Arabidopsis thaliana: one gene and its partners. The protein of the gene in region 4 interacts with the protein of the main gene of each other region in a pairwise test. Each region holds a gene or a part of one and is shown on either strand. Other genes may lie near its edges. The genes, in order: NF-YB5, LEC1, NF-YB6 and NF-YC5.

Region 1 (4,022 bases), on a different chromosome or scaffold from region 4:
ATTTATTTTATTAGACATTGGAGAATCGAAAATATATTCCTTAATAACAACTTTAAAAAATCACTAGTCGTTTCCTTTTCTATCAAGCCATACTTGAGAGGACATTTCACAAAGGTGTTATTTTATCGACCAACTTTAGGATTTAATATCTTAAATTTTGTACTATATAGATTTGTATATTCACGTTCTCATGGTTTCAACAACTAATTAATGCTTTATATGTTTTCTCCCTGAAATTCCAGCAAATACACATATTATATACACACAGTTTTTCATTAGTAGTAATTCTTATCTAAGTAACTAAGTAAGGCGCATCATTAGTTTTTCTACTAAACATACTTTTGGTGTAGGATTCGAAAAATAAACTTCCATATGCAACCATATGACCTAGCTAGTTTCATTATTACAACCTTAAACCGTTTGAAACCATTTATGACGAGTCAATTTCATCTTTTGATTAGGAGGTAGAGAACCAAGTTAATGAGCAAGTAATACTAATAATTACTGTTTATAATATAGAAATGCTATGAACGTCATCATGCATCGTTCAATAATTAATTAATATCTAAAGGCGTTCAACATTTGTTTATCCGTTTCAAGGTGGTCCGATCCACCATCGGTCGACACTTGTCCTCACTTTGTTAATGATTTTACATATATGTATATGTAGCTGTAATATTTAACTAATGACTTAGGTTTTTCGGGAAAACAAATAACATAAAATAATAGCCAACATATCATACTTCTAGAACACCATGCTCTCCAAAATCTTGTAAAATCCTCTATGTAATTTATAAATCTATCTTTACATTACTTCTTTAAATAATAAATGGGAATGTTTTGCTAAACAGCTCATATTATTCTCATCCATAGTAAGGCGACAAAGCTTGTAAATGTTTTCGTCTCAATATAATGCAGAATTTACATAATGCTGTATAGCCAATCAAAATAAATTAAAGTTTAAAATATAAATAGCTAGTTAACTAACTAAATCACTGTTTTGCGGATATAAACTAAATTTCGTCTAATAATTAAATACTGGTAAAAAGTAAGTAAAAACATAAAATCACATATAAGAGGAAATATATATATATATATATATATATATATTATTAATCCAACTAGTTTTGATTTGAAAGTTCATAGAATTTAAATGGTAGTTTGATTAAAGTAGGTTATATCATCGAGATTGAGTTCTAGATGGATAAGAAAAACCTAATGTGTTGACAAAATATATATATCAAAAGTGTGGTGAAACAAAAAATTATGTATTTCCTCAGTTCGAAAATATAAAATATTTTAGTTAAAAAACGATTTTTTTTTTAAAACAACATTATTAATAAGTAGTTGAAAATATAATTCAACCAAATATTATTTATAGCCTCTTCAATTTTGGCAAGCAGACTACTAATTATAGACCACAAGACGTGCTTTTATATGGTCCACGAGTTCGATATTATCGTTTATTAAAGTGACTAGCTCTTAAGGAGGAATGTGGAATAATTGAATAATTTTTGGTTGAGGAGAGTTTCCAGACTAACTGGAGTGTGGAGTCAATCCACAGATAGACGGTATTGACTTAAGCAGGAGGACCAAAACTTCCTTTTTAGGGTAACATCAAGTACGTCATCAACCCCAAACTATTTTCGCCTTCACGTACGTTGAGGATATCATATCATATTCATTCCCAAAGGCGAGATAATTCACTACTAAAGGAATGATATATGTGTTATATATTCTTAACACATTTCAACATTATTTTGTTTGCAACACATCTTATTCTATGATTACATTTTAATTGTTTTAACTCAACCAAAAGGGTTTAGGAGAAAATAATTAGAAGAAAATTGAGAGAGAGAGAAATTAGCTAGACCTGCCACATTGTCTCCCCTGTGACCTAGACCACTCTCATTGGTTTGTATGACACGTCACCACCATTCTCTGACCAGACAAACATAGATAGATACTCCTTAATTAGCTCTCTTGCCTTTCTACTTATATATAAAGCTAATTTAACTACACAAATCTCTCTGTCAAAACGAATATTTTTTTAGATGTATACATAATAAACACATTTATGTTAAAACCTCTCCTTTTTCTGTGTGCCATATAGTTTGGCAAATTACATATCTTCGTTCTATATCATCATTCGTTGTTGTGAATCATACTGAAACGAACCCCTCACCAAACAAGATTTATAGATCCTCTGCTTTAATTATAAGATTCTGATGGCGGGGAATTATCATTCGTTCCAAAATCCAATCCCTCGATACCAGAATTACAACTTCGGGAGCAGCTCATCTAATCATCAACATGAACATGATGGGTTAGTGGTGGTGGTGGAGGATCAACAGCAAGAAGAAAGCATGATGGTAAAAGAACAAGACAGGCTACTTCCGATAGCAAACGTAGGAAGGATCATGAAGAACATCCTCCCAGCAAACGCAAAGGTCTCTAAAGAAGCCAAAGAGACTATGCAAGAATGTGTGTCCGAGTTCATTAGCTTCGTCACGGGAGAAGCATCCGATAAATGCCACAAGGAGAAGCGAAAGACCGTTAATGGAGACGATATCTGTTGGGCTATGGCTAATCTAGGGTTTGATGATTACGCCGCCCAGCTCAAGAAGTACTTACATCGTTACCGAGTTCTCGAAGGTGAGAAACCTAATCATCACGGCAAAGGAGGACCTAAATCCTCGCCAGATAATTAAAATTCTTCCATCGCTTTTTGATTTTCCTTGATTAATCTCCATGTCATCATCTTCCTCTTTAGGACCAGCTATCTTTTTCTATCTTCTCATATATTGTTCTACATATATAAATAAATTTTATGTATATGATGATATAACATGTATGTGGTGTGAGGTACTGAACAAATCTGTGTTAATTCTTCCAGCTGATTTTGTTATTTTCTATATTTTTATTTATTTACATATATTGGAGTGGAGATCGATCGATGTGTATATTATGAACCATTTTCGGGATTTTCTTTTGGTTGCTTCATTAATGCTTTTTAAACAATTTATTCAGATTTAATTAATTTTCGACTGGTATAATTAAATAAAATTAAATCGAGCATCATACAACAACACAAGTCCTGCCACAACCAACCAAACCGGTTTTTAACTGTTTACCATCTAACTTTTAAAACCGTCAATCATGAAGATGAACTAATATATCATCAACTTTGTAGATTAATTTCGACAGTGAGGATATATACTACCATGTCCCTTTCCTCTGATCTAGACTACTTAACCCTCTATATATAAGAAATCAACTTTGCAATTTCGTAGTTTGTGGAATTCTTATTCAGTTAAATCAATTGATTTCTTTCGACAAAAAGCGAAACTTAGTCGACTTTCAGTATTTAGATATATTTTTAGATTATGGCATTTGCATATAGATTATTCGCATTCATTTATCCACACTAAAATGCTAGCTATTCCGTACACATCATATAGAAAAATAAAATTTACTACTTCGATATTGTTTTCTTTAAAGCCTAATTGATATTTAGACCTTATGTCGATATAGATTAATTCTATTTTCGACGTGATTCACTTTCTAAACAGTATATAGTACTAAGAAATAAAAATGGGCTAAATTGATTAGTTAAGAGCGAGTGGTCCATAAATCCAGATCAGTTCTCACATGTTATTTACTAACACAAGATCCCTGGACCTTCCACATAAAGAAAGTTATACATGTCTGACTCACGCTAATAACGTATACTTTTTACTCCAAATTTCAATTTGACCATTATACTCTTTTTTTTTTTTTTTTGTTAATACCATTTCAGCTGTTGATATCAAGCAAATATTTTCGCCTTCTCAAAAGATGTTATGTATTGGTTGATATGTTTGACCAAATAAAAAAATGTTAAGTTGAGATAGAATCTTAAGTTTAAAAAGAGATATATCTTAATTTAAATATTGTTGTTAATGTGTTGGCCTATAATAAATCATAGAGGTGGTATATATCGACGTTGTAAAACAGGACTATGATGCATAAAAAGAAATCAT
Region 2 (5,358 bases), on a different chromosome or scaffold from region 4:
AAGTTACCCTGCTTTGGACATATCTACGAGAGTAGAAAGTAGAAACATTCACTAAACGTGACAACTTTATAAATTTTCTTTTTGTAACTTTTCTTTAGATTTATTTACGAGAAGAGAAATATAAACGTTTGCTAATAAAAAATGATTGCATTATTTTCTACCATCTAGCTAGCTTGAATATTGATCAAGTCTTCACGTTATTAGTTTATCTCTTCTCTCATAGGCATGTCCACAAAAGGGTAAGTTTTACTGGTTCAAAATATTGCATGAGTACTACTAAGCTCGTATAGTTTGATCCTACTATCATTGCGATGAGGGTTGTTAGTTTGGAAGAAATAAGGATTTATGCAAATGGTAATCATTATGTCTGCTATTTAAGAAGTAAATTATGATGCTTGTTGCGTGAACATATTAAATTTGCGAAAAATAAGCAAGGATACACGAGAGAAGCTCAGATATTCACGTAACGATGTTTCTTCTCTTCTCATTGAGGTAACATATGGCCATGATATAGCTATTAAGCCTACGGGATTGTCATTTCAACGCCGGATCTACCAAACTGTTCCATCTCTTATTATATATAGTTTGGTTATTTAAGTAATTAGATGCATCATAATCTTTTTTTCTGCCAGTTGTAATGCAGATAAAAATATATTGGTTGTTCTAAGGATTGTTCAAACGTGCATGTGTACAAGTTATTATTTATATACTTTCATCTACATGCGATGCGTTATTTATAATGATATAACTAAGATTTTTAGTTAAATTTAATAAAGAGCTTACGAGCTACAATTAATTAGAAATGGTTGCTCAGAAATCAGAATACTATATATGAAAAAAGAAGTTGGTATACTTGAAAAAAGAAAAAACTACTTGAAAAGATGGTAAAAGATATAGAACGAGTATATATCTTACTCAAGCACGATAGAAGTTTGTATCAAAACATTGCGTTCCAAACCAATGTTTGAAGATGGTCAAAGGTGCTACTCATGATGTATGCGAAGAAGCTTACAAAAAATTCTGCAATGAGAGATAACTTTATGGGCTGCTTGTTCAATATATTGAAAATCATGGTAGACAACACCAAACTCTCCTTTACCAGAAGTCATATTTCCTTAACCTCAGAATAAGTAAATCTTCTAGTTTATTATTTGAAAGTTGAGCGTATAATTGCAATGAAACTTTTACCAATTCACCGCCTCCTAACTGAGTTGTTGTATTATCCTATCTCTTTAGCTATCCTTTCCTTGCTCTTGCTCCACCTGCATGTGGCCTCTTTATTTATAATCTCTCTAGATTCTGCTAAAGATGTATGTTCAAAATGGTTTATCTTTAAGGGAAGCAAAGTGAATGGAAACATTTAAAGAAAAAAAAAACTTTTAGCAGAGTTCCATGAGATTTCATACTGATGATAACTAAAATAATCTTATATGCGTAAGATTATTTTAGTTCTAAACTTCATTTTGAAATGAGAGGTCATTGGCCAGGAAAGATTCAATATTGGTTCTTTGTTAATTCTCGTTGGTTTGTTTTTAGTATGGGCTAGATCCAAAACAGGTCATGGACTGGGCCGTAAACTCTATCCAAAATTCTTCATGTTTTTCCATCTTTCAAAAATCTTTATCCACCATTCCATTACTAGGGTGTTGGTTTTATTTTATTTGTTGATTAATTATGTATTAGAAAATGTAAAGCAATATTCAATTGTAACATGCATCATCTAACACCAATATCTTGTACTAACCTTTTGTAATTTTCCTATAAACACTTTAAAAGGCTAATTTAAATAAAAATTACAATAAACGTGATAACTCACTTTCGTAACGCATATTTATTCAAATATACCAAAATTTACCATTTTAAGTAAGAGAATCTTTTTAAAACTAATTTTCAATTTCATTAATTAAGAAACAAAGAATTTAGTGAAACCTATATTTTATTAAATTTTAATAAAATATATGACTAAAATAACGTCACGTCAATCTTTCTCAGCCGTTCGATAATCGAATACTTTATTGACTAAATAAATAGAAAATGTTAAACAACATTTAATTTATATAAACAAAGAGAGCCTCATATGTATAAAAATCTTCTTCTTATCTTTCTTTCTTTCTTAATAGTCTTTATTTTTACTTAATTACTTTGGTAATTTGTGAAAAAAAACAACCAATGAGAGAAGAGCAGTTTGACTGGCCACATAGCCAATGAGACAAGCCAATGGGAAAGAGATATAGACCTCGTAAGAACCGCCTCCTTTGCCATTTGTATCATCTCTCTATAAAACCACTCAACCATCAACCTCTCTTTGCATGCAACAAATCACTCAAATAATTATTTTATAAAGAACAAAAAAAAAAAAAGACGGCAGAGAAACAATGGAACGTGGAGCTCCCTTCTCTCACTATCAGCTACCAAAATCCATCTCTGGTAATCTAAGTGGCTATTTTTATACAGTATATACTTGCCTCCATGTATATTTATATGCTCATGAAAAATTGGAGACATGCTTTATGAATTTTATGAGACTTTGCAACAACGAACTAAATGCTTTCTTTCTAGAAATTTTTAATTTAGATTTGTGAAGGTTTTGGGAATGGCCCGGAGAAGACGATTTTATATACATACATGCAAGAGTTTGATATGTATTGTTTCATCATGGCTGAGTCAAAGTTTTATCCAAATATTTCCATGGTGTGGTATTAGTTAAACAAATCTCTCGTATGTGTTCATTGAATATACCCGTGCATGTACCAGGAATGTTTTTGAGTATCGTTTTCTTTCTTTTATCAAAAAAAATTTCGATTCTAAAAACGTTTTTTTCTTTGTTGTAACGGTTGAGTTTTTTTCTTCGTTTCAAAACGAGATTCTCGTTTGTCTCTTCCCTTGTCTAAAAACATCTACGGTTCATGTGATTCAAAAACACTAAAAAAATAGAAACTCAAATTTTTTTAGTACTTAACATTTAAACTATATATATATATATATATATCTTATACTAGTCCCAAGTTTTAGTGTGAGGTTTTTTTATTCAAAATCTATCAGTAATTTTTTTGGAAAAAAACTAAGTGAAATTTTCTCCAAATTTTCCTTTTACTATTGATTTTTTAATTACTGGATGTCATTAACTCCAATCTTTTGATTCTTTCAACATTTACCATTGGGAACCTTCACATGAAATAAATGTCTACTTTATTGAGTCATACCTTCGTCTACATAAATTAATTGATGTTCTTCTCCAAATTTTGAGTTTTTGGTTTTTCTAATTAATAATCTAAGCGAAAGCTTTTTGGTATACATGTAAAACGTAACGGCAAGAATCTGAACAGTCTACTCAACGGGGTCCATAAGTCTAGAATGTAGACCCCACAAACTTACTCTTATCTTATTGGTCCGTAACTAAGAACGTGTCCCTTGATTCTCTTGTTTTCTTCTAATCCATTCGTATCCTACAAATTTAATCATCATTTCTACTTCAACTAATCTTTTTTATTTCCTAAAGATTTCAATTTCTCTCTGTATTTTCTATGAACAGAATTGAACTTGGACCAGCACAGCAACAACCCAACCCCAATGACCAGCTCAGTCGTAGTAGCCGGCGCCGGTGACAAGAACAATGGTATCGTGGTCCAGCAGCAACCACCATGTGTGGCTCGTGAGCAAGACCAATACATGCCAATCGCAAACGTCATAAGAATCATGCGTAAAACCTTACCGTCTCACGCCAAAATCTCTGACGACGCCAAAGAAACGATTCAAGAATGTGTCTCCGAGTACATCAGCTTCGTGACCGGTGAAGCCAACGAGCGTTGCCAACGTGAGCAACGTAAGACCATAACTGCTGAAGATATCCTTTGGGCTATGAGCAAGCTTGGGTTCGATAACTACGTGGACCCCCTCACCGTGTTCATTAACCGGTACCGTGAGATAGAGACCGATCGTGGTTCTGCACTTAGAGGTGAGCCACCGTCGTTGAGACAAACCTATGGAGGAAATGGTATTGGGTTTCACGGCCCATCTCATGGCCTACCTCCTCCGGGTCCTTATGGTTATGGTATGTTGGACCAATCCATGGTTATGGGAGGTGGTCGGTACTACCAAAACGGGTCGTCGGGTCAAGATGAATCCAGTGTTGGTGGTGGCTCTTCGTCTTCCATTAACGGAATGCCGGCTTTTGACCATTATGGTCAGTATAAGTGAAGATGGAATTATTCTTCATTTTTATATCTGTTCAAAACATGTGTTTGGATAGATATTTTATTTTTATGTCTTATCAATAACATTTCTATATAATGTTGCTTCTTTAAGGAAAAGTGTTGTATTTCAATACTTTATGAGAAACTGATTTATATATGCAAATGATTTAACCCAAACTGTTTTGTGGATTAAACTCTATGCAACATTATATATTTACATGATCTAAAGGTTTTGTAATTCAAAAGCTGTCATAGTTAGATGATAACTAAACATTGTAGGAACCAAGTTTAATTGACTTTTTTGAGTTTTACACAACTAAGCCAAAGGATTATAAAATCTAAATTCGTTGAGTTGTCAAACTTCTGAAGATTTATATCCTCTTTGAGTTTGCTTTCTTTTGGGTGCTTGAGTTTCATTAGGGTGATCCTGACTCGTTGCTCTCTGGTTTCTCCATCTCTGTCTTTTCCAAGGATTCATAACGTTGGTCGCTCTCTGTTTCTGCCTACACTTCTTCAAGGATCATTACTAAGACTAAGAGTTAAAGACCTTAGCCATGGTTTTCTGTAACTGGTTCAAGTTCATCTCCGGTTATTGGGTGGTTATCTTTCGGTTAGATTGAAACCCATATGCTTGCTCTGTTTCTTCTAGTTCCAAGTTTAATTTCCGGTTATTGTTTGGCTTTTTAAAGTTCTTAAAGGTCTATTCTATGTAAAGACTCTTTTGAAATTTTATGGCTGAATGAAAAAAGTCCCTTTAAGTCTTTAATTTGTGTTGATGTTTAGGATACTTCGACAATCTTAAGAAAATCAAGGGCTAAAAATGAAAGCAAGTTACCAAATTACTCAAAATCTAAAAAAGTGACAAATATTTTAGCCCAATGGATTAAACTAAAATGTAGTTTCTTTTATCATTTTAGGCTATGTTTTCTTTTAAGAAAACTTTGGTAGTTAACTCTGTTTAAAAGAAAAAATAGAGATGCTTAAATTAAATTTAGTATCTAAAACTTTAGGATAAACACATTAAGCTAAAGAAATTAAATTAACAGGCGTAATGCAAGCTTGTTATGCGGTATTGAAAACACTACCTCTAAAAGTAGCCCAATATTGAAAACCTTAAGCTTCTTTGATCCCCTTAACTTGTTTGTCCACCAAGTATTAGTTCATC
Region 3 (4,734 bases), 1.2 Mb from region 4:
CGGCTGATTCTGAAACTGTTTTGGATGATCTTGACCCTAAGCATATCTACATTATCGGTGGCTTAGTGGATCGAAACCGGTTCAAAGGGATCACCATGACCAAGGCTCAAGAACAAGGCATTAAAACAGCTAAGCTTCCCATAGGAGAGTATATGAAAATGTCAAGTTCTCAGGTAACTAAATGGCCACTTCAATTCTTGTCTCATTGGGCACAACACAAAAAACCTCTACTTTATGTACTTTGTTAATGTAAGATTTGTGGTTTTTATTGATTTAGGTTCTCACTGTGAACCAAGTTTTGGAGATACTCGTCAAGTTTCTGGAGACTAGGGACTGGAAAACAGCCTTCTTCACTGTGATTCCTCAGAGGAAAAGAACCGGACTTGATCCTGTTGATTGTTCGAAATTGGAACATATATCTGAAGAGCATCAGGAGAAAGATACTGAGGCAAACGAGAGTGCAGACAAACATGATCTTCTGGAGAGGAAAAAGGTATGCGTTGAAGTTCCTTTGGAAAGTAGTAGCTAAATGAAATGAATGAAGATTGTGAGAGTTGTTTCTGTATCCGTTAAACACTCATTTCTGTAGCTGAGAATTGAAATCTGGAATGTTTAGTCTCTTTCTATTTTGAACCAAGACGCATTACGAATTCACCGTGAATTTTGTAATATCACATGCATGCGGTTTGCAAAACTAATGCTTTATTGACATACTTTACCACAAGACAGATCAGATGAAAAACACAATGTTCTTTCAACTAGATAGATAATAAACAAAGAAAAAGCAGCATTGTTTTCGCTTAAACTTGAATTCATAAGCTACAGCTTGCACCTACTAACAGTTATGACTCTGTCAGCTGTCTATGTTATTAGCCATTGTTCTCAGTACTTATGTTGTTGAGTCGGAAATACTTCAACTCTGGCGCCACTTGCTCCTGAAGATGAACCACTCATCTTAGAATTAGGTTCGTTACCACTGAAAACAAACCCGTTCTGATGACGATAATGGTACTGCGCCATGTGAATCCCTGGCACAGGCCCGTAGGCTCCATACTCGGTCATGGTCCCATTAGGCCTCTTGACCACCAAGCCGTTGGTCATACTAACGGACCCAGCACTGCAGCTAACCCCTCTTTCACCTTCCAACTCTCTGTAGCGGTGGAGGTACAACGTGAGGGGTTCGATGTAGTCATCAAAACCGAGCTTGCTCATTGCCCACAAGACGTCCTCAGCAGTGATGGTCTTGCGCTGTTCCCGCTGGCACCGCTCATTAGCCTCCCCTGTTATGAAGCTGATGTACTCCGAAACACACTCTTGGATCGTCTCCTTGGAGTCATCTGAGATCTTGGCGTGAGCAGGTAAGATCCTCCGCATGATCCGTATCACGTTGGCAATAGGCATGAACCTGTCTTGCTCCCTCACCGTGCACTCCTCCTCACCACCATTACTGGTTTTGTTAGGCTGGTTGAATTCTGGAGGACGCATACTGCCCTCTGCCATCAGAAAATTCGCTGCTAATCCTAACAAAAATAAGAAAAATGGAAGTTTTAGTGCATAATGGCTTCGATGACGTCTGCATGCGCGGTTTATAAGATTGAAAAGCTATTTCATTAACTGTTCGTCATGAAAAGAGTACAGACATGACAATGGAGGGATTGCAGAGAATGGTTTCGCATGCAACTGAAATGAAGAGAGCCTGTGAAAAGAGGGGGTATAGAGAATGGCACTACCTGGTGGAGAAGGAGTGGTGTTGTTCACGGACAGCTTGCGGTAGCCATGGAAGCCTCCACGTTCCATATCTTTCTTGTTCTAAATACACGACTTTTGTGTTTGTGAATATCCCTATAAATAATAATAACCAATGCCCGAAATTAAGAAGCATTTGAAGAAGAGAATGGAATGAGAGAGAAGAAAGAGTAATTGGAATAAAGCTAATAGTGTTGGCAAGTGTCAGCATTTGTAATTTCAGACCTCACAAGTTCAACAACGTGGCAGCCATAATCGATGTGACCGAGGATCCTTCTCCTCGTCTCCCTTAGCCGTTACAAAATCCCAATCACCCCAACGTATTTGTCTTTTTTATTCGAACCTTCTACAAATACAGAGCCGTAGAGTTTTAAATTATAAACTACACCAAAGATATAAAAATTAAACTCGAGGTAATCATCTACAAGTTCTCCCGTTTTGCGTGCCAAAAACACCTAAATTTAAAATCTTTCACTCATTTTTCCCTCTCTCCCGAGGAAATGGTCTTGTAAAAATTTCCAAGTTTCTCAAAGTATGAGCGAGTCTTGCTGTGCTCAGGCTGTTTCTGCCCACCTTCCGTCACTCTCCTATAGTACTTGTTCATGTTCTCCCACTTCTCCTTACACTTTTTCGCAGATCTTTCGTACCCTCTTTCTTTCATTCTTGCTGATATCTCATCCCAAATCGCTCCCTTGTTGATCCCCGTCTTCTCTTCCACATCGCTTCTCGAACTTATCAATGCCTGCACTTCCTCTTGCGGCCACCTTCTACCACTGCTGCCACTGCCGCTTGAGTACCTAAACTTTATCTCTCTTTCTCTCTGAGCGGATTCACATTTCTCGTCTTTACATTGTTCCGGAAGAATCTGCTGGAGTGGTTGCGGGAATTCACACTGTTTAGGGATCTCGATCTCGTCACCAGTAACACTTCTGATGAAAGAGATGAGAGACAAGTTGCGTGCCATCTCTTGCTTCCGTGCTTCTTCATTCTGTGTCATCCTCTCGGTTTCCTGTTGCCTCCAAGCTTCCTCACGGCGTATTCTCTCCACTTCCATCTTCTCCATCACATTAATCAACTGATTATGCATCTTCTCCTGCCGCTTCATCATACTCCCCACAAGCTTCTCCAAGAAATGCTCCAGCTTTACCCTTGTTTCCCGCTTTCTTTTACCCGTGACGGTCTTGCGAACGTCTGGAGATGAGTCACTATCGCTGCTATCAACAGAGGAGCTGCAAAATCAAAAATTGGAAAGTACTTATCAAAAACTCAAAGCTTCCAACATGGTTACACTATCTAAGAACTAATAATCCAAAAGTTCCGCAGAATATATAGACAAACACTGCTTAGAAGTGGTATAAACCAACACTGTAAAAGCTTGTAATGACGGCACACCAATCTGATTGATATCTGCAAAGTTTAATGCTTTAAGCTGAGAGTGTTCAGTGATGCACCAGTCAACCAATCTAGAATCAAATGATACCGCAAAGCTCAAATATATCAAGAGGAAGAGAATGTGTTTAGGAGGTCTCTACCAAACAAGCTTCTAATAAACGTGAAAAAAAATTAGACTCTTAATAATACAGAAAAAAAGTAACAACTTTTCACAGTAACAGATCCAAAGTTGAACAAAAAGCTCACATTTTTAATGGTGAGATTTATACCTGAGAGAGAGACCATCCCAAGAGATGCGATTTCGAGCTTGAAACTCCATTTGAAGAGGAGGAAGAGAATCATCCTCTTCCTTTGAAAACCCACGAGTCAATTGACCACTTTCCTCCACGTCAGCAATCTTCGATCCCAAAGGAGCTTCGAAGCAGCCAAAACCCATCTCCGGCAGCCTATCTAGGGTTCCGGCGAGAATATCAAGAGGATGTCGATCCTCCGACGACGACGGAAGCTTAACGCCACACCTTATAGGTTTCAATTTCTGAGGAGGCGAAGCCAAGTCTGCGAGCGTAGCCAAAGCGTCGTCGTTTCCGTTAGAACCCATTTGACGGGTACCGTACATCCACCCGCAACCACCGTCCGAACCATCGAATGGGTTAATATCTTCCTCAAAGTCGTCGCCGACTCGTTTCCGACAGTCGCCGGCGAGAAGTTCCATTTCGGGAAAAGGTAAAAAAAATAAAATGGGCGGCGTGAAATCCAGAAGAGACTGCCCAAAGTAAAAGCAATTCAAAGGGTAAAAAACTCTATATTTACCTTTATACCCTCAAAGGAGTAACATAACCTCCATTTTATCCTCACTTCACTTCAGTCGTTTTCTTACCCGTCGTTATATGACCCGACCCGAGCCCACCTGAGCTGAATATGTTCTGTAATTTGTATCTACACCAGTTTTGTGTAAAGGCAAAAAACACTTTAGCCCCGTGTGGCTCAGCGAAAGCCGCGGAGATACCGACATATTTTATATCATAATCCATAATCCATATTAAGATTGGGAATCTGAGAAAAATTAGAAGAAAATCATTGGTAATTTCTCTATCAAGCGTAGGTGTCACAACACAAACAATCCAGAGAAACTATTCCACGTACGTATTAACCTTTGACCTTAACCTTCTTAAACAGAAAATATTGAAGTTTTTATGTTCTTGTGATAGAAATATACAGTAACAGAATATTTTCTTTGGCCTTTATTGACATATTTTAGAAGAAAAATAGATTACTTCCTTGTTTTATTATTATTTCACTCATCATACGTTGTAGAAAGGGAACCGCAAAGTGAAAAAACAGGTTTTGTATGCTCAAATCCTTCAAACGAGTGATCAATCTATTTAGCAATTTAAAAACTTTCAGATTTATATAGAATTTGTTTTGTCTGTTACTTATTTAGGACAAATCTTTAGTGTAAATTGAGTTGAGAGTTTTGTTTTTTCTTCTCTCGTAATGATGACTTGCCGTTTGGCCAAAAGTTATGGTTTAATCAAATTGTTGTTGTGTAATAAGAATAATGGCCGTCGTCTTCGTTTTCCTCCGGCTGATGGGTTC
Region 4 (4,075 bases):
GAAGTTGAAATATTCCAAGATAGTGACCAGTTTGCATAAAGAGCCAAAATATTGCATTTTTTAGGATATATGTGCATTATCCTTTGTTACCTATTGTCCACATCAACTCTATGTGAGAACGAGTTGAGAGAGTCGTTGCTTATATGTTTCCCAATTGAGAAGCATCCACTCATCCTGTAATACCCTGAATCAATCTACTTCTTCAATAAACCCACATATCCATTTTTCTCACCACTAAGCCAATATATACTCAACTTGAAAGGTTCTTGAGAGACAACCTTATGGACCAATGCATACCACCGTCGCCATCAAAATCTAAGGACATACCCAAGGAAAGAACTATTCAGGTTCTCACATCAAGTTGCTTTTCAGTTGCTTATAGGTAAAGGAGGTGAAAATGATCCAGAAGGTCATCCATTTCCATTTTGCTCTTCCTTTTGCTCTTTCTTTCCGCTATTGATCATCCTTTTCCATCTTATCTTCGTCAAAATAGTGCCACAAGATCTTTCAAAATAGACAAATTGATTGGAAAATTAAAATTCCTAAAATTGCAACAATATAAGTTCTAATTTTGTAACAATGCTGAAACAATTTCTCCAAATATTTTTTTTTGTATAAATGTTACATTTAGTCATCAAAAAAACCATGTTTACATTATACGCAACCTTGTTCTTTGAGAGTAGACCATAACTATTTTAGAAGATAGATAATGGTTGAACAAAAATAGAAAAATAAAACCCACAACTAGATTTTTTATTTTTTTTTGTTAATTCCCACCACTAGATTTTGTACGACGAATATTTTAACATAGACACTACCTAATACTTAAAGCAACTAATATAGAACAGGTAATGAAATTCAACAATACCAAAAAGATGATTGAGGAACGGAGATTGACGGTGCTTAACAGAGTCGAGAGCTTTGATGATCTCTCCTTTATAACTCAAACATCTCCTCGTAGTGCGAGGGTTTAATGACGATTAGAGTCGCATGAGAAAATTGTTATCTCTTTTCATTGGCAACACTCAAAATCAAAAGCCGAACGAATACTAGTCTTGTGTTACACTCTCAGACCCAAACAAAAGAAGAAGAGAGAAGAGAGGAATTTTGATGTTTGTGATCTTATGAAGAGAAGGAGAAGACAATGACTTGACTTACATAGCCCAAGCTCAACGTATATATATTCATGAGGTGATCTCACCTTAACGAAAATTTATGAGATTTTGATTCTCACAACAATGTCAAAAACGTTTTCTGACCTTAATTGTCATAACTGATTTTTTGTTGTTGTTACAAAACTCTATCATTAAGGTAGATATTTTTTATTGGTTGTAAGCCCATTTCCCAACTCTCAAATCTCAAACCCAACCCATGTATGTTTGGATTTCTCCTCTTACTTACTGTATATTATATACCAAGGCAGCTATTTTGGACCTTCATTTCTCATTCAAATGATAACTTCATTTTTGACATTCCAATGCACCACCACGGTCCGCGTAGTGCTTGCAACAATGATTCTATTGTGCCGAAAAACCGGTCATTCCGATGAACGTCTTCACCGGAAAAGTGGCCACAACCACTTCATCAAAAACAAGTTCCAACACCCGCGCAAAGCTTCCTGCATGAGTTGTTTGTTTAGGAGTAGTACTCTTTTAACAAGTTTTATGGATTCCTTATCTAAGACTTCGAGATCTGATCTTAAGGGGAAACGATATCTTTGGTTTTTGAATTTCAAGATTGATATTTATCGAACTTTGTGCAAAAACCATCTATCTCTTTCCACCATTTATGTTTTCGAACCAATGCACTTCAAAGCCTATTTGGGAAAATCTCAAGTCTATAGATGTGATAAGACTTGAGATTTCGCCAAATAGGCTTTGAAGTGCATTGGTTCGAAAGGCTACGAGTATAATCAAACTGAGTATTGAAAGGTGTGTTTCCTCTTCTCCACACAAGAGTTTTGGTGCTACTGAGGAGTGATGAAACTGATAATGTGGTTATGGAGGAGTAATGCAGTAATATCTTGAAGAAGGAGGCGCCAAAATAAAACGGCTACTCTTGTTTAACTCCAAACTGTTCACTTTTTGGAACAATCCAACTCCAAACTGGTCACTTTTTATTTAAATTTAATATTTTGTTTGACAAAATTTACTAACATATTTATTAATGATCTCTCTTTTATTTTGCAGTTAAACATCAAAATGTGAGATTCTCTCTTGAGTGTCTACCTCCTCATGTTAACAAATCAAATAATTAGAGAAATAACCAAAATTTAACTTTTAGAGGGACTACAGGATTTGTACTTTGTACATTCATATATTATTGTTATATATCGTTTCATACATTAATTTGAACCAATGTAAATTAAGTAAAATTCAATTTAACATCATGAGCAAATTCTTATTAAAATTCTCTTAAAATTTTGAGCAAATTATGCTTTCACATTTAACATTTGAAAACATCATTTTTAACAAGATATTCAAAACTAAGTTTTGTACAGCAAAATTTTAACTTTCAATTTTATAGAGAAAAAGGTATTTTTTTTTTTGTTTCATTTTTATAAGACTATTATTTGGTATATAATATACACTTTAAGTAAAAACAAATCTCTTTCTTTTTTCTTCTTATAATACCAACCACAAGTCTGTCAGTCACACACATACAGTTAATAACATTAAATATTCTTAACAAACTACTAAATAGGTTGAGATTCATATATGTAAAGAGATCACTTCTTAATCTTATCCTACCATATCTTATATACGCTTAATTTTCCTTTATATATGCAAACCTCCACATAAAAATATCTCAAACCCAAACACTTCAAACAAAAAAAAAATGGAGAACAACAACAACAACCACCAACAGCCACCGAAAGATAACGAGCAACTAAAGAGTTTCTGGTCAAAGGGGATGGAAGGTGACTTGAATGTCAAGAATCACGAGTTCCCCATCTCTCGTATCAAGAGGATAATGAAGTTTGATCCGGATGTGAGTATGATCGCTGCTGAGGCTCCAAATCTCTTATCTAAGGCTTGTGAAATGTTTGTCATGGACCTCACGATGCGTTCATGGCTCCATGCTCAAGAGAGCAACCGACTCACGATACGGAAATCTGATGTTGATGCCGTAGTGTCTCAAACCGTCATCTTTGATTTCTTGCGTGATGATGTCCCTAAGGACGAGGGAGAGCCCGTTGTCGCCGCTGCTGATCCTGTGGACGATGTTGCTGATCATGTGGCTGTGCCAGATCTTAACAATGAAGAACTGCCGCCGGGAACGGTGATAGGAACTCCGGTTTGTTACGGTTTAGGAATACACGCGCCACACCCGCAGATGCCTGGAGCTTGGACCGAGGAGGATGCGACTGGGGCAAATGGAGGAAACGGTGGGAATTAATATTTGGATTGGGTTTTGTAACCGCTGTTGTGAGAACTTGAATTTCTTTTTGAGTTCTGCTTATGTTTTCAATGTTATGTTTTTTAGTTGTTGAATGTATTTCTGTTGTTTTGTCCAAAAAAAAAAAAGAATGTATTTCTGTTGTTGTCTTTCAAATGAATCTAATGGTTTATGAATATTGGCTTTAGATTAATTTATGCATACAAAAACACAAGGATTACGGATAAAAAAGTCCTCAGTTTACCCATGGAAACATAATCTTCTAGTGATTCCTTATGAGAGTAGAAAAGAATCATATATTATAATCTATTTCATAAGAGATAGGGTACTGTAAACAAGGATGTTTATTCGGCTATTTCTTTTTTTTTTAATCACTTTTACTTGTCAAGACTCTTTTGTGTTTGCAGCTTTTTGTTAGATTACATTCTAGAGGCAACAAGATCCAGAGATCTAGCAAAAAAAACTTATTTTGAAACCTGAATCTATTTTAAAAATTTTCCAACTCATTTTTCGTTCTTATTCTTTGTTTTCCAACGGAATTTGGCGCACAAACGATTTATTTGAATTTTGTCTTTCAAGAAATTTTAGCGCGGTTTTAGCGAACTCTTATGAGGAAGTTATTAATTGAATTATTTTTGTTTTTGTTTTTTCTAATTATCATTTCTATATATTTCTC

The links.
Region 1: the proteins of NF-YC5 (region 4) and NF-YB5 interact in a two-hybrid assay, tested with the Arabidopsis thaliana proteins (one large-scale study listed by BioGRID).
Region 2: the proteins of NF-YC5 (region 4) and LEC1 interact in a two-hybrid assay, tested with the Arabidopsis thaliana proteins (one large-scale study listed by BioGRID).
Region 3: the proteins of NF-YC5 (region 4) and NF-YB6 interact in a two-hybrid assay, tested with the Arabidopsis thaliana proteins (one large-scale study listed by BioGRID).

Annotation. Positions count from the first base shown.
Region 1 is NC_003071.7:19,581,627-19,585,648, reverse strand, and holds NF-YB5 (nuclear factor Y, subunit B5), read left to right. Parts: upstream 1-2,030; 5' UTR 2,031-2,228; coding exon 2,229-2,711; 3' UTR 2,712-2,991; downstream 2,992-4,022. UniProt on the Arabidopsis thaliana protein: Component of the NF-Y/HAP transcription factor complex. The NF-Y complex stimulates the transcription of various genes by recognizing and binding to a CCAAT motif in promoters.
Region 2 is NC_003070.9:7,726,589-7,731,946, reverse strand, and holds LEC1 (Histone superfamily protein), read left to right. Parts: upstream 1-2,297; 5' UTR 2,298-2,375; coding exon 2,376-2,427; intron 2,428-3,532; coding exon 3,533-4,197; 3' UTR 4,198-4,370; downstream 4,371-5,358. UniProt on the Arabidopsis thaliana protein: Component of the NF-Y/HAP transcription factor complex. The NF-Y complex stimulates the transcription of various genes by recognizing and binding to a CCAAT motif in promoters. Acts as a central regulator of the embryogenesis.
Region 3 is NC_003076.8:19,312,124-19,316,857, reverse strand, and holds NF-YB6 (nuclear factor Y, subunit B6), read right to left. Parts: upstream 2,081-4,734; 5' UTR 1,798-2,080; coding exon 1,731-1,797; exon of another isoform or gene 1,521-1,730; coding exon 883-1,520; 3' UTR 689-882; downstream 1-688. Other genes in the region: TRM10 (tRNA (guanine(9)-N1)-methyltransferase-like protein), read left to right, coding at 1-173, 278-529; AT5G47660 (Homeodomain-like superfamily protein), read right to left, coding at 2,222-2,975, 3,408-3,850; NUDT2 (nudix hydrolase homolog 2), read left to right, coding at 4,633-4,734. UniProt on the Arabidopsis thaliana protein: Component of the NF-Y/HAP transcription factor complex. The NF-Y complex stimulates the transcription of various genes by recognizing and binding to a CCAAT motif in promoters. Plays a role in the regulation of the embryogenesis.
Region 4 is NC_003076.8:20,559,934-20,564,008, reverse strand, and holds NF-YC5 (nuclear factor Y, subunit C5), read left to right. Parts: upstream 1-2,780; 5' UTR 2,781-2,838; coding exon 2,839-3,399; 3' UTR 3,400-3,575; downstream 3,576-4,075. Other genes in the region: AT5G50500 (uncharacterized protein), read left to right, coding at 1,452-1,859. UniProt on the Arabidopsis thaliana protein: Stimulates the transcription of various genes by recognizing and binding to a CCAAT motif in promoters.